Saccharomyces cerevisiae S288C: one gene and its partners. The gene in region 1 interacts genetically with each later gene. Each region holds a gene or a part of one and is shown in the gene's direction. Other genes may lie near its edges. The genes, in order: TUL1, SSH4 and PIB1.

The links.
Region 2: of TUL1 (region 1) and SSH4, changing one enhances a phenotype caused by changing the other (phenotypic enhancement), as found in Saccharomyces cerevisiae (one study listed by BioGRID).
Region 3: of TUL1 (region 1) and PIB1, changing one enhances a phenotype caused by changing the other (phenotypic enhancement), as found in Saccharomyces cerevisiae (one study listed by BioGRID).

What each region holds. Positions count from the first base shown.
Region 1 is NC_001143.9:370,249-374,760, forward strand, and holds TUL1 (ubiquitin-protein ligase TUL1), read left to right. Parts: upstream 1-1,580; coding exon 1,581-3,857; downstream 3,858-4,512. Other genes in the region: UGP1 (UTP glucose-1-phosphate uridylyltransferase), read left to right, coding at 1-1,142; YKL033W-A (haloacid dehalogenase superfamily protein), read left to right, coding at 4,257-4,512. UniProt on the Saccharomyces cerevisiae protein: Catalytic component of the DSC E3 ubiquitin ligase complexes that tag proteins present in Golgi, endosome and vacuole membranes and function in protein homeostasis under non-stress conditions and support a role in protein quality control.
Region 2 is NC_001143.9:208,511-212,832, forward strand, and holds SSH4 (Ssh4p), read left to right. Parts: upstream 1-2,082; coding exon 2,083-3,822; downstream 3,823-4,322. Other genes in the region: RRN3 (rDNA-binding RNA polymerase I transcriptional factor), read left to right, coding at 1-1,620; signal recognition particle subunit SRP21, read right to left, coding at 3,985-4,322. UniProt on the Saccharomyces cerevisiae protein: Components of the endosome-vacuole trafficking pathway that regulates nutrient transport. May be involved in processes which determine whether plasma membrane proteins are degraded or routed to the plasma membrane.
Region 3 is NC_001136.10:1,088,591-1,091,831, reverse strand, and holds PIB1 (phosphatidylinositol-3-phosphate-binding ubiquitin-protein ligase), read left to right. Parts: upstream 1-1,752; coding exon 1,753-2,613; downstream 2,614-3,241. Other genes in the region: RAD34 (Rad34p), read left to right, coding at 1-1,399; SSF2 (rRNA-binding ribosome biosynthesis protein), read right to left, coding at 2,890-3,241.

The sequences.
Region 1 (4,512 bases):
TTGGCCCTAAATCTGTTATTGAAGTGAGAGAGGGAAACACCTTTTTGGATTTGTCTGTTCGTCAAATTGAATACTTGAACAGACAGTACGATAGCGACGTGCCATTGTTATTGATGAATTCTTTCAACACTGACAAGGATACGGAACACTTGATTAAGAAGTATTCCGCTAACAGAATCAGAATCAGATCTTTCAATCAATCCAGGTTCCCAAGAGTCTACAAGGATTCTTTATTGCCTGTCCCCACCGAATACGATTCTCCACTGGATGCTTGGTATCCACCAGGTCACGGTGATTTGTTTGAATCTTTACACGTATCTGGTGAACTGGATGCCTTAATTGCCCAAGGAAGAGAAATATTATTTGTTTCTAACGGTGACAACTTGGGTGCTACCGTCGACTTAAAAATTTTAAACCACATGATCGAGACTGGTGCCGAATATATAATGGAATTGACTGATAAGACCAGAGCCGATGTTAAAGGTGGTACTTTGATTTCTTACGATGGTCAAGTCCGTTTATTGGAAGTCGCCCAAGTTCCAAAAGAACACATTGACGAATTCAAAAATATCAGAAAGTTTACCAACTTCAACACGAATAACTTATGGATCAATCTGAAAGCAGTAAAGAGGTTGATCGAATCGAGCAATTTGGAGATGGAAATCATTCCAAACCAAAAAACTATAACAAGAGACGGTCATGAAATTAATGTCTTACAATTAGAAACCGCTTGTGGTGCTGCTATCAGGCATTTTGATGGTGCTCACGGTGTTGTCGTTCCAAGATCAAGATTCTTGCCTGTCAAGACCTGTTCCGATTTGTTGCTGGTTAAATCAGATCTATTCCGTCTGGAACACGGTTCTTTGAAGTTAGACCCATCCCGTTTTGGTCCAAACCCATTAATCAAGTTGGGCTCGCATTTCAAAAAGGTTTCTGGTTTTAACGCAAGAATCCCTCACATCCCAAAAATCGTCGAGCTAGATCATTTGACCATCACTGGTAACGTCTTTTTAGGTAAAGATGTCACTTTGAGGGGTACTGTCATCATCGTTTGCTCCGACGGTCATAAAATCGATATTCCAAACGGCTCCATATTGGAAAATGTTGTCGTTACTGGTAATTTGCAAATCTTGGAACATTGAAGGTGCGGCTTGCAATCCCTTTTTTACTTTCAATTCTCCGTTAGGTTATTTATTCTACTACACGCAGTTTTTTTTTTTCAATGGGTTATATATCTCTAATATATACACATTTATATGTTTAGACTTATACAGAAGCAAAAAAAAATGCAAAAGAAGCTTAGTGTTCATAATTCTTCACTCACGTCATGTTATATATTTGTTAAGCGTAGCTTCAGTATATATAGAGATTTTCCTTTGGCGGGGTAAGGGTCTGTGAACTTTAGGGAAATAGAATAAACGTAAGTTAAAGGTGACAAGCTCGGATCGTCATCTTTCAATTATCACCCCAAAAGATATTGTAAAAAAGCAAGTTCAATCTCGTTTGTTACATTTGTCCCGTATTTCTACTAATTCAGGCAAAAAAGGAAAGTCCTACAGCAAAAGAGGCAAAAGTACAGTATGGAAATCGATGGCAACACTCTGGTGTTCATAATAGTGATCCTTTTCCTATTTTTCTCCTCACCGGGTGGTGATGGTGTGTCTTCTCAATATGAGTTCAATCAACTCCAGAGACTCAAGCAGCAGTTCCGAACAGAGCACAATACGTTCGTCAATATGACATATACAGATAGTTTTCGAAATATTACCGGGCTTAAACTCAGCTACCAAGACATGCTGAATAATCCTCTCCAAAATGCCACTTACCCACTACCAGGAAAAGATTATGATCGATGGTTTCCCAATCAAAACTACATGGTTTTGCCCAACGATGTCATAGAGGCCATAAATACTGAAGTCTGGAATACTTCGAATGATGACGCTTCCAACCTTTTCCCTCCCAATATTACAAGCACCCTGTTAGGTAAAATCGACCTTGTATCAAATAACAAGTACGAAAAGATAAGGATGCCTGTACCCAGATTCTATGAGCCGGCAACTGATTTTTCAGAGGATATTCCTCCTGAAGGTGAGACGTACTGGTCTGAGTGGCCTTCGTATGGCGAACTTCATAATGTGAGTTTTCAGCATGGCGAAATAGCTATTCAAATTTCTCATATGAGCAATCTTCAGGACAATAATAATTACTTAAGGAGAAATTTCATAAATAAGAAAAATGACCGTTGGAAGTTGTTAAATCTTCAGATTGATTTCTCAGATAAGGCTGAAAAGGAAAAGCATTCCATATACTCGAAGGCTGTATATGACATTCAACGTGGTAGAATTCTTTCTATTTCTCAGAGTTCTAAATTTCATTCATTGTTCGCCCTTCCTCATTACATGTCCTTCCAGAATGATTATAATGAGAAAATATTTAATGATGTCAAGGAACTCGTTGATGAATTTTGGAATTTCACGGATTACACAGATGTCATGACCATGAAAGACGTACAGGATGCTTATAATAATGCCAACTTTAAATGTGAGTATTTGATTTTTCTTCAGTTGGAACCATGGAATCAGTACACAAGAGATCAGATCAAGTTAATAGATGATGAATTGAATTGGCCCCTGGGGCGTCCGGCAAATCTGTCTAGTTTACCGCCCATAAATGTTGTCTCTGGATTACTGTATTCTCCAGACTGTGGCGTACGATTAGGGCTTCATAACGTAAAGGGTACACGGTACGAATTAAAAATAATGTCGATCAGAAAACATCTATTGTTCGGTATTGCATTATTTGCAGCCCAGATATACTTATTGCTTACTCAGATGCATCATACAAATACCCCCTCCATGGTCAACAAAATCTCATTCTATTGTTTCTCAATGATAAACTTAGTCGATGGTTCCTTGGCCACTTTGTACTTTGTCGCAGCTAGTGTCGTTCCCGAATTGTACTTACCCCTAGTTATAAGTGCTTTTTCGTGCTTTATCTTGGCATCTATTTTTGAAATACGCTACTTAATTTCAATTTACGCTTCACAGGTTAACGAACAGAATGTTGGGATTATCAACCTCCTGCGTGGTAACACTGGCACATATGATGAGAATAGGCCAAGACCCGCATTCATTCCCGATGAAGGGTCTATCGGTGGCTCGTTATATGGTAGGTTTTTCTTTATGCTAATCATTTTCACGTTTTTAATATTGAGTTCAACTTCATGGCCCCGTCAGCTAAGGATGGTATTTGAGTATATCCTAATCTTCATATTAAACTCATATTGGATCCCTCAAATTTTCCGTAACGCCGTTAAAGGTATTCCTTCAAGAAGAGAAAGAGCAAGATCTAGCATTGGAGGAAATAGAAGTCAAAACAAAATGCCATTATTGTGGAGTTTTGTAATTGGTACAACAATAATTAGAAGCTTGCCCGTTGTGTATGTTTTCACTTACTCCTCTAATGTGTTCAGGCACCATAAAGATGTTCATTTCGTCGTATTTTTATCATTGTGGCTACTGTTTCAAATTAGTATACTGTATTCTCAAGATGTATTGGGATCGCGCTGGTTCTTGCCTAAGCACACAATACCTGATGGATATTCGTATTTCAAGCCCCTTTCAAACGAGTATATATCGGAGCATGGTGGTGGAACTGCTGAACATACCGTTGATTGCGCGATATGTATGTCTGATGTTCCAATTTACATAGAGGAAATTCCAGAAACTCATAAGGTGGATCAGCACTCTTACATGGTAACGCCTTGTAATCACGTATTTCATACTTCGTGTCTAGAAAACTGGATGAATTATAAGTTACAATGTCCTGTGTGTAGGTCACCATTACCTCCGTTGTAGATAGCATCTCTTGATCCTAAGAACTATATACTGTATTTGTATTCAAGATCCAAGATACCGTGACATTTCCTATTTGTCAACCATTGCAATAAGAAATTTTACATGAATAGTGCATTAACTTTTTATTACCACTAAAGTAGTTTTGCTTAAATATACAATAGGCAAACTAGACTTAGGATAATTCACAAGGGTTTTTAGTGTTACCCTTTTTCCGTATGACACATTTTTCGAGGAATTAATTATTGGGAAAATATTGCCGATCAAGATCCATTGAGGTGAATCTAAATCGCTCCAACTCCAAGTTGGGGAATCTTAAGACCGTCACTGCCTTCCAATTACACTGCTTTTGTTTCTTTGACAATAAGAACGCAAAAGTAAATTTCTTTTTTTTAACAAATTATGACACATCCTGTAGCAGTGAAGGCATGTCTATTTGACATGGATGGTCTTCTCATCAACACAGAGGATATTTATACTGAAACTTTAAATGAAACTCTCGCAGAATTTGGTAAGGGACCTTTAACTTGGGATGTGAAGATTAAATTGCAAGGGCTTCCGGGACCGGAAGCAGGAAAAAGGGTGATCGAACACTACAAATTACCAATAACTTTAGATGAGTACGACGAAAGAAATGTTGCATTGCAATCTCTTAAAT
Region 2 (4,322 bases), 160 kb from region 1:
AATGATAAGAATCTCAATATTCTTTTGGATATCTTATCTAGTAATATCAACAGGATAGAATCCTCCAGGGGAACTTTCCTCATACAATCTATCATAAACTTTGAGAAGTGGTGGGAATTGCCTCCACACACTCTAAGTAAATATATATATTTCATCAAAATCCTTTGCTCGAGTATACCCAAATGGTGGCAAGACGTTTCGATGATACTGGTATCTTGTTTTATTTTACCAATCAAACAGACAGTGTGTCATCATGATATGCTTAAATATTTCTTAAGGATGATTCCCTCCTCGATGGGATTCATAGATACATATTTGGCCAAATTTTTCCCAAATAAAAATGATACTCGGAGAAAGTTGGTTAATTACACTTCAAATTTGCTGAAATTGAGAGGCTACTGCTCTGAGCTAGGATTCCAAATTTGGTCCTTACTGATAGAAAAGATTATTTCGATTGATGTCGAGTTACAAAATGAATTAGATGAATTAGATGATGATGTAGATGACGATGATCTAGAGGAAGTTGATCTAGAGGATGACGACGATTTAGATGATGATTCAGGAGACGATGATGATGAAAATTGTGGGAACAGTAATGAAGAGTTAAGGTCTGGAGCAGCCGACGGTAGTCAAAGTGATAGTGAAGATATGGACATCATTGAAGGTATGGACGGTACTGAAGAATATAATGTGGAGTTGACGCAGGGAATCAAAGAACTTTCCACCAAATTGGACTCTATCTTAACTTTGGTAAGCACGCATGTGGAAGAGCAAGTGACGCCGGAGAGTTTAGAAAGCGGTGAAGGCGTAGGAGTCTTCAACACTCTAACAACATTATTTAAAACGCATGTTCTACCCACGTACTATACCAGGTCGATTCAATATATCATGTTCCATGTTTCACAACAACAATTAGAACTAATGGATTCATTTTTAGTGACACTGATAGATATTTCGTTTGCCGTCAACGAAGCAGCAGAGAAGAAAATTAAGTCATTACAATATTTGGGGTCGTACATTGCGAGGGCCAAGAAACTATCCAGAACTCAAATTATTTTCGTTGCAAGCTATTTAACGTCCTGGTTGAATAGATACGTTATCGAAAGAGAAGAAGAAGTTGATCAACGTGGAGGTATGGAAAGGTTTAAACATTTCTATGCAGCATTTCAAGCACTTTGTTACATTTTCTGTTTCAGACATAACATCTTCAGAGATACAGATGGTAACTGGGAGTGTGAACTGGACAAATTCTTTCAAAGAATGGTCATTTCAAAATTTAACCCATTAAAGTTTTGTAATGAAAATGTCATGTTGATGTTTGCTCGTATTGCCCAACAAGAAAGCGTCGCGTACTGTTTCAGCATAATTGAAAATAACAACAATGAAAGATTGAGGGGAATCATCGGCAAAGCTGATAGCGACAAGAAGGAAAATTCCGCACAAGCAAATACCACATCGTCTTCTTGGTCTTTAGCCACTCGACAACAATTTATTGACTTACAGAGTTACTTCCCATATGATCCTTTGTTTCTGAAAAACTATAAAATTTTAATGAAGGAATACTACATAGAGTGGAGTGAAGCAAGCGGGGAATATGAAAGTGATGGGTCGGATGACTAAGGTCTTTTTTCATAGGTATCTTCGAGACATGCCCGTCACAAACTAATGATACACTGTAGTCACCCCATTAATAGTTGAAATGAGGATATATAGCATAAATGCATTTAACACATTTTTTAGATTTCTAGATACTATAGAAACTTAGTATTTTTATTTTCCACAGTGTACTCTTCACGATATTTTGCATTTTAGAACGCTTGTTTGTTCTCGTCACTTACTACGTGCGCGCTTTACATTCGCAGGTCTACTTATTAAAGAGTTTCTGTGGGGAGGGGTTCCTGAGTCAAAATCTCAGCTATCCGAACAGCTTGTACTTAGATTACTTGGCACATATTTATATTCAGTAAAGTCAATAGTGGGTATTATTAATCGAAATAAACAGAACAAGCAGTAATAGCTCTTTTTTCATCTATTTTATTTGTAACTAGGAAGAAGAAAAAAACTTGAAGGTATACAAGAGCAATGTATGTCACTTTTAATGAGGCTTTGGATAGTTCTTTTGGTAATCTAGAGAGTCCGAATCATGACTTCAAAGTAGGTGACCCTAACATGGTACCAACTCCCCCTATGGATTCAGATTCTGCAGCAATTAGTTTGGCTTTCTTAATAAGTCTTTCTATTACGTTTGCAATATTAATGCTCATCTTGGTAGTAATAGCGGCATATGTCACCTTTTGTGGTGATGATGAATCAGAATACGACGAAGAGAACGCCTTAGGTACACGAACTTCAGGAACTCTGCACTCTTTGTTTGGTAAAAAACATAGTGGCATCTTGTTGGATTCGAGTTTTGCATCCCCTGGCGGGTTTGATGATGAGATCGTTCTTCAGGAAAGAGAACTTGAAGAATTACCAAAGATGTCAGCGTACGAGGTTGAGTTGTATATAAGAGCGAAAGAGTTTCAAATGATGAGCCCGCCAATGGTGAAGGACTTTGGCACGTATTTGGACAGTGACGACCAGCAGTTTATTAAGGATCGTGGCATTCAAAGCTATTTTTTGCTACCAAGCATTAATGATAATATAGACGAATATGGAAACTTTCTACCCAGTTTTATTGTCCAGGATAAACTAGATATTCAATTTTCAAAGTTCAATAAGAGCTCATCCACTGTAATGAACTATCCCCTACCTCACAATAGGAAGGACGCAGTGTATTTCGAAGTTAAAATTTTCAGACATATTCAAAAGTCCAATAGTATATTCAGTATAGGTTTGACTACTGTACCATATCCTTATTTCAGGGTACCGGGCATGGCCAAATACTCCATTGCATACGAATCCACAGGTAAACTGAGGATAAATAACCCCTTCACTGCCAGCACATTATTACCAAAATTGGAAGAAGGTGACACGGTAGGATTCGGTTACAGATATAAAACAGGTACAATCTTCATTACACATAATGGGAAAAAATTAATGGATGTAACACAAAATATTGGCATTGATCTTTTCATTGGAATTGGCGCGTTTAATGCCGCATATACAAGAACATATACGAGGGATGGTCTATTGGAAGACCCGGATAATGTTAGCTTCCGTGAAGCTCTCTCTGAAGGCAAAGATATTGAAGTCGCCAAAGATCTTCAAAGAGTTCACGATCCACATGATGAAAGTGATGAAATGACGTCAGATGAGGTTGAATTACATGTTAATTTGGGCCAAGTTGGGTTCGTCTTTATAGAAGCCAATGTGAAAAAATATGCGTTTGGGAGTGTTTATGGCCAAATTGGAATTCCTCCTGCGTATAATGGAACCGAGATCAAGAAGGATACTATTTTACAGAAAGGAGAAGAATTGCCACCAAGATATGCTGACACTGATAATTTCTTTGGTAGTATGAAGGTAAAAGAAGGGTCATCCTCTAGGATAACGGCGCAAACTAGTAAGCCCCTGTGGTCTGTTGGGACGTATGAAAGAATCTCTTCTAACTTTGACAGAGAAAATAATGTTTACCACGACAGTCTTGAAACCGACGATAACAACACCGATAACAATGTTAATAACAACGATGAGAACGCTGGTTGCAATGAAAATTCGCCATTATTGGAAGATGATGGCAATAAAAGACCGGAAAATTCAAATACCCCCCGTGAAGTATCAGATGGAGCTATCAATAAGAACCCTAGAAATAAATCTACTAAAAAACGTCAAAGAAACAGAGGCAAATCTTCTAAAAAGAAGAACAGATCGAGAAAATAAGAGACATTATGAATTTGGTTTTTTTTACAATTTACGCATACACAATATATACATTCCTACTAGCTTTTTTTTCTTCAATTCGATAGTTTAGATGGGTTTATATCTAAATATATATATATAGTATTTTATTTCATATTCAATCTCCTAGTATACATGAAATATTTAACGCTTTTTTTTGCCCTTGTTTTTATTTTTTTTCTTTTTTGAAGCTGCAGAGTTACCATTGTTATTTTGCACAGCATTAGCTTTTTGCTTCGGTTCTGTAGCAGTTTTCTTAGCCGCAGGATCGCTCTTTTCGACATCTGTGTTGACAATTAAGGTGGCTAAACCAACAATGTCTTGGATGCTCTTACCTTTTATTTTTTTACTCGATTCTTTTATTTTGTTATTTTTCTTCTTCGACTGTGCTATTTTTTCAATTTTACCTGGAGTTATAGATACGCCTCGTGGGCCTAATGCACTAAGTAATCTTGAAACATCTTTACTCTTATTAGTAGTAA
Region 3 (3,241 bases), on another chromosome or scaffold:
CAAGATGGCTAAAAGGAAAATGGCCAACAGAGATATTCTAACGTTGTTCTTCTTTATTATCTTAGAAAATGTGCTACCGGGGCCTAAGAAGCTTTACTTATGCTTTGCCTTGCCCTTGCACGATTACGATATTAGGTGCAATAAGGTGAAGTGGCAAATCGAACATGGTATTGGCAAAGTTCCCAACAGATTTGACTCTGACCTAATACAACCTTATTTTTGGATTGAATTAGAAGTTCCTACTTTGAGCGATGGTGAATTATACATCATTGACCCTATAGCCCATCTGGGTGAACGTGAAATGGTCTTGAAAACACGCGAAGATCAGTTTGTCCCTACTTATCAACCTTCGGTAGACATGAAGTACAACCTAAACCAAAAGTTTCATTATGTAGTCCGTATCAATCATGCTGAAAAGGTACTACAAGATGTTTCACCAAGATATGTGCCAAATGTTTGTTACAGGTACTTTGAATTATCTGAGTCTTCTCCTATTTTGAAATCGAAGCATTACACTAGCTACCAATATCTATCTAAGTGGTTGAAAGTCTTGAACAAGAAAAAAGCATCTGTTCATCATTACGCAATAATGAAAAAGATTGCTTTAACTAATTTTACATTACCAAAGAGTGTGACAGAGATTAAAAGAACAGATAATTTCGTGATTCCCTCTCTGTTAAAGTCTAATGAAGTATTAAAAGCATGTGCAAAACAAGCCGCAACATTTACTAAGGGAGACAATTCACAAGAGCCCATATTTTGGAGAAGAGACGTCATTCAATTAAAGAGTAAACAGCACTGGGCAATATTAGGGCGTTCCATTCTACCTAATGCTCAACCATTAAAACGTAAAAAGTATCTACCGATGAGGGAAAGGATGGTAAGAAACCTAGACAAGTACGTTATCAAAGAATTGTTTTCGTATGAGCAAACAATGAAGTCTCCTAAATACCCCAGCACGTATTGCGATCATTTAGGACAGGAACATGTGATAACAGATTTGTCGCATTATAAAAATAAATTTGGCAACATCGAAATTTACTCGAAAGAAACTAAGCCTGATGGATTTGAATTAATACCGCTTAGCAAAGAAGTTGATATTAAATGCCTGATAAAGGAGTATAACAAAGGTAAAAGAAAGATGCAAAAAATCAAGTATTTGGATGTGGTAAGTGGATTTGATTTTAAACAGAAAAAAGGCCATGCCATTCCGAAAATTGAAAGCATTCTAGTCAAAGAGACAGACTATAAAGCAGTCCAGCTTTTGAAGCAGCAAACTAAAGTACTACTGGGACTCTCGTTCTGGGACATTCTATTAAGAAAGCTACGAGTTAACGATCGATTAAATGCTGAGTACGGTAATGTTGGAAATAATGAAGAAACGTTGGACGACCATTGACTACATCGTATTTCACCTTTTCTAAAGTAAAATGGATTCGACGCTGTTTCGCAGAGGGTATAAATGTTTGCACGATCGATAGAGCGTATGGAAGCCTGTGCATAATCATATCTCTGGAGAAGGAAATCTTCGATAAGGGCCAGTGAAATAGCGGAGTATCATGGAATCCGGGTAATGGGCATCGAAGCAGCTCACCGAAGAGAAGAATAGAAAAGAAAAAGTAGAACTATTCTCGGGATTTATAGTAAACAGGGGACGGACGATTAAGAAATAACCTGATCAAACACTGTACACTACTGCTGTTTTTTTTTTTTTTTTTCTGCTAGAAAAGAACATATGAAGAACTAAAGCGCATGGTTATTAAAGAGGACTGTATCAATAATCTTGCCAGGTGGCAGGCAGACGAGGAAGCTCACAGCTGTTTTCAATGCAAGACGAACTTTTCGTTTCTCGTAAGAAGACACCATTGTAGGTGTTGTGGAAGGATATTTTGTTCGTCTTGTACCGAAAATTTTGTTAATTATAATAAAAAGAGAGTCCATGCCTTGCAGAAAAAAAATAGCGACGTGGAATCGCCTCCATATAGAACTTGTAATGAGTGCTACGATAACCTCCTTCATTTAAATCTACTAGTATCCTCCACCAACAGAGATGTACGACTATCGCAAACTTCGGTACCACCAAATGCACTTGCACTTTCTGCACCAGATAGCAACACTGATGAAGACGCGGAAATCCTGGAAGATTCGGTAGATCAATCCGGTACGGCATGCAGGAGCGAAGAAAGTTCACAAAACGAGGAGGATCACTTCTGCCCTATTTGTAACTCAGATCTCACACAGTTTCCTGATGAAGAAGAGACCAGAAAGCACGTAGAGGATTGCATACAGAGAGCTGAAAATGCCCAACAACATACGAATACGTCAGATGCAGCAGATGACTCCGTAAAAGAAAGCCCTGCCTTTCAAAATAGAATGTTAGTGTACAAGATATCGCCTAATACAACAGATAATGCAATTAAGGAGTGCCCGATTTGTTTTGAGAATATGGAACCCGGTGAGAAAGTTGGGAGACTAGAATGCTTGTGTGTTTTCCATTATAAGTGTATTAAGAACTGGTTTCACAAAAGGGCGCAAATGACTGCAGCCCAGAAGGGAAATGGACATGCTTTTGTTAAAAGGAACTTTTGTCCTTTCCATGATGCCGTATTTTAACGATAACTCCCAATTTGCTTTTCATTACAAAGTTTAATTTTTCAGCTGTTAATAATCGAAGTTTTAACTTCCCTTTTCTTTTATTTTTTTCTTTAATTGTAAAAGATTTCTATATATTTGTTTAATTATGATCTTATATATTCATTAATATTTACTTTGAGGTGTTCCCTCACCTATGAATAAACAGACACTTCCTGGTTCTTTAAGTCCATCGGAGTCATGGCTACTATATGGATAGTGATGTTACGTACGGAGGATATATATACATATCGTGCATTATTCTACTTCACTGAATAAGTCACTATCCAAATCCTCTGGTACATCACTATAATGCTCATCTTCACTCGATGAAGATCCATCATCGCTCATTGCACCATCTTTCCCTTGACCTTCACCCTGTTCTTCTGCTCTAGCTTTTCTTCTTTCCAATTTACGTTGCTTTTTAGCATCTTTAACAGCCTTTTTTTTAGCAATGTTTTCTTCTTGTTCCTTTCTTCTTTGTTCCTTCAGCCTCATTTTTGCAGCGTGTCTCTTTTCTAAGGCTTTGATTTCTTCGCTTGATTTTTGAACAAATTCATGATGTAATACTTTACCTGAACAAATACCATCTTCTATTTTGACCAGTTTT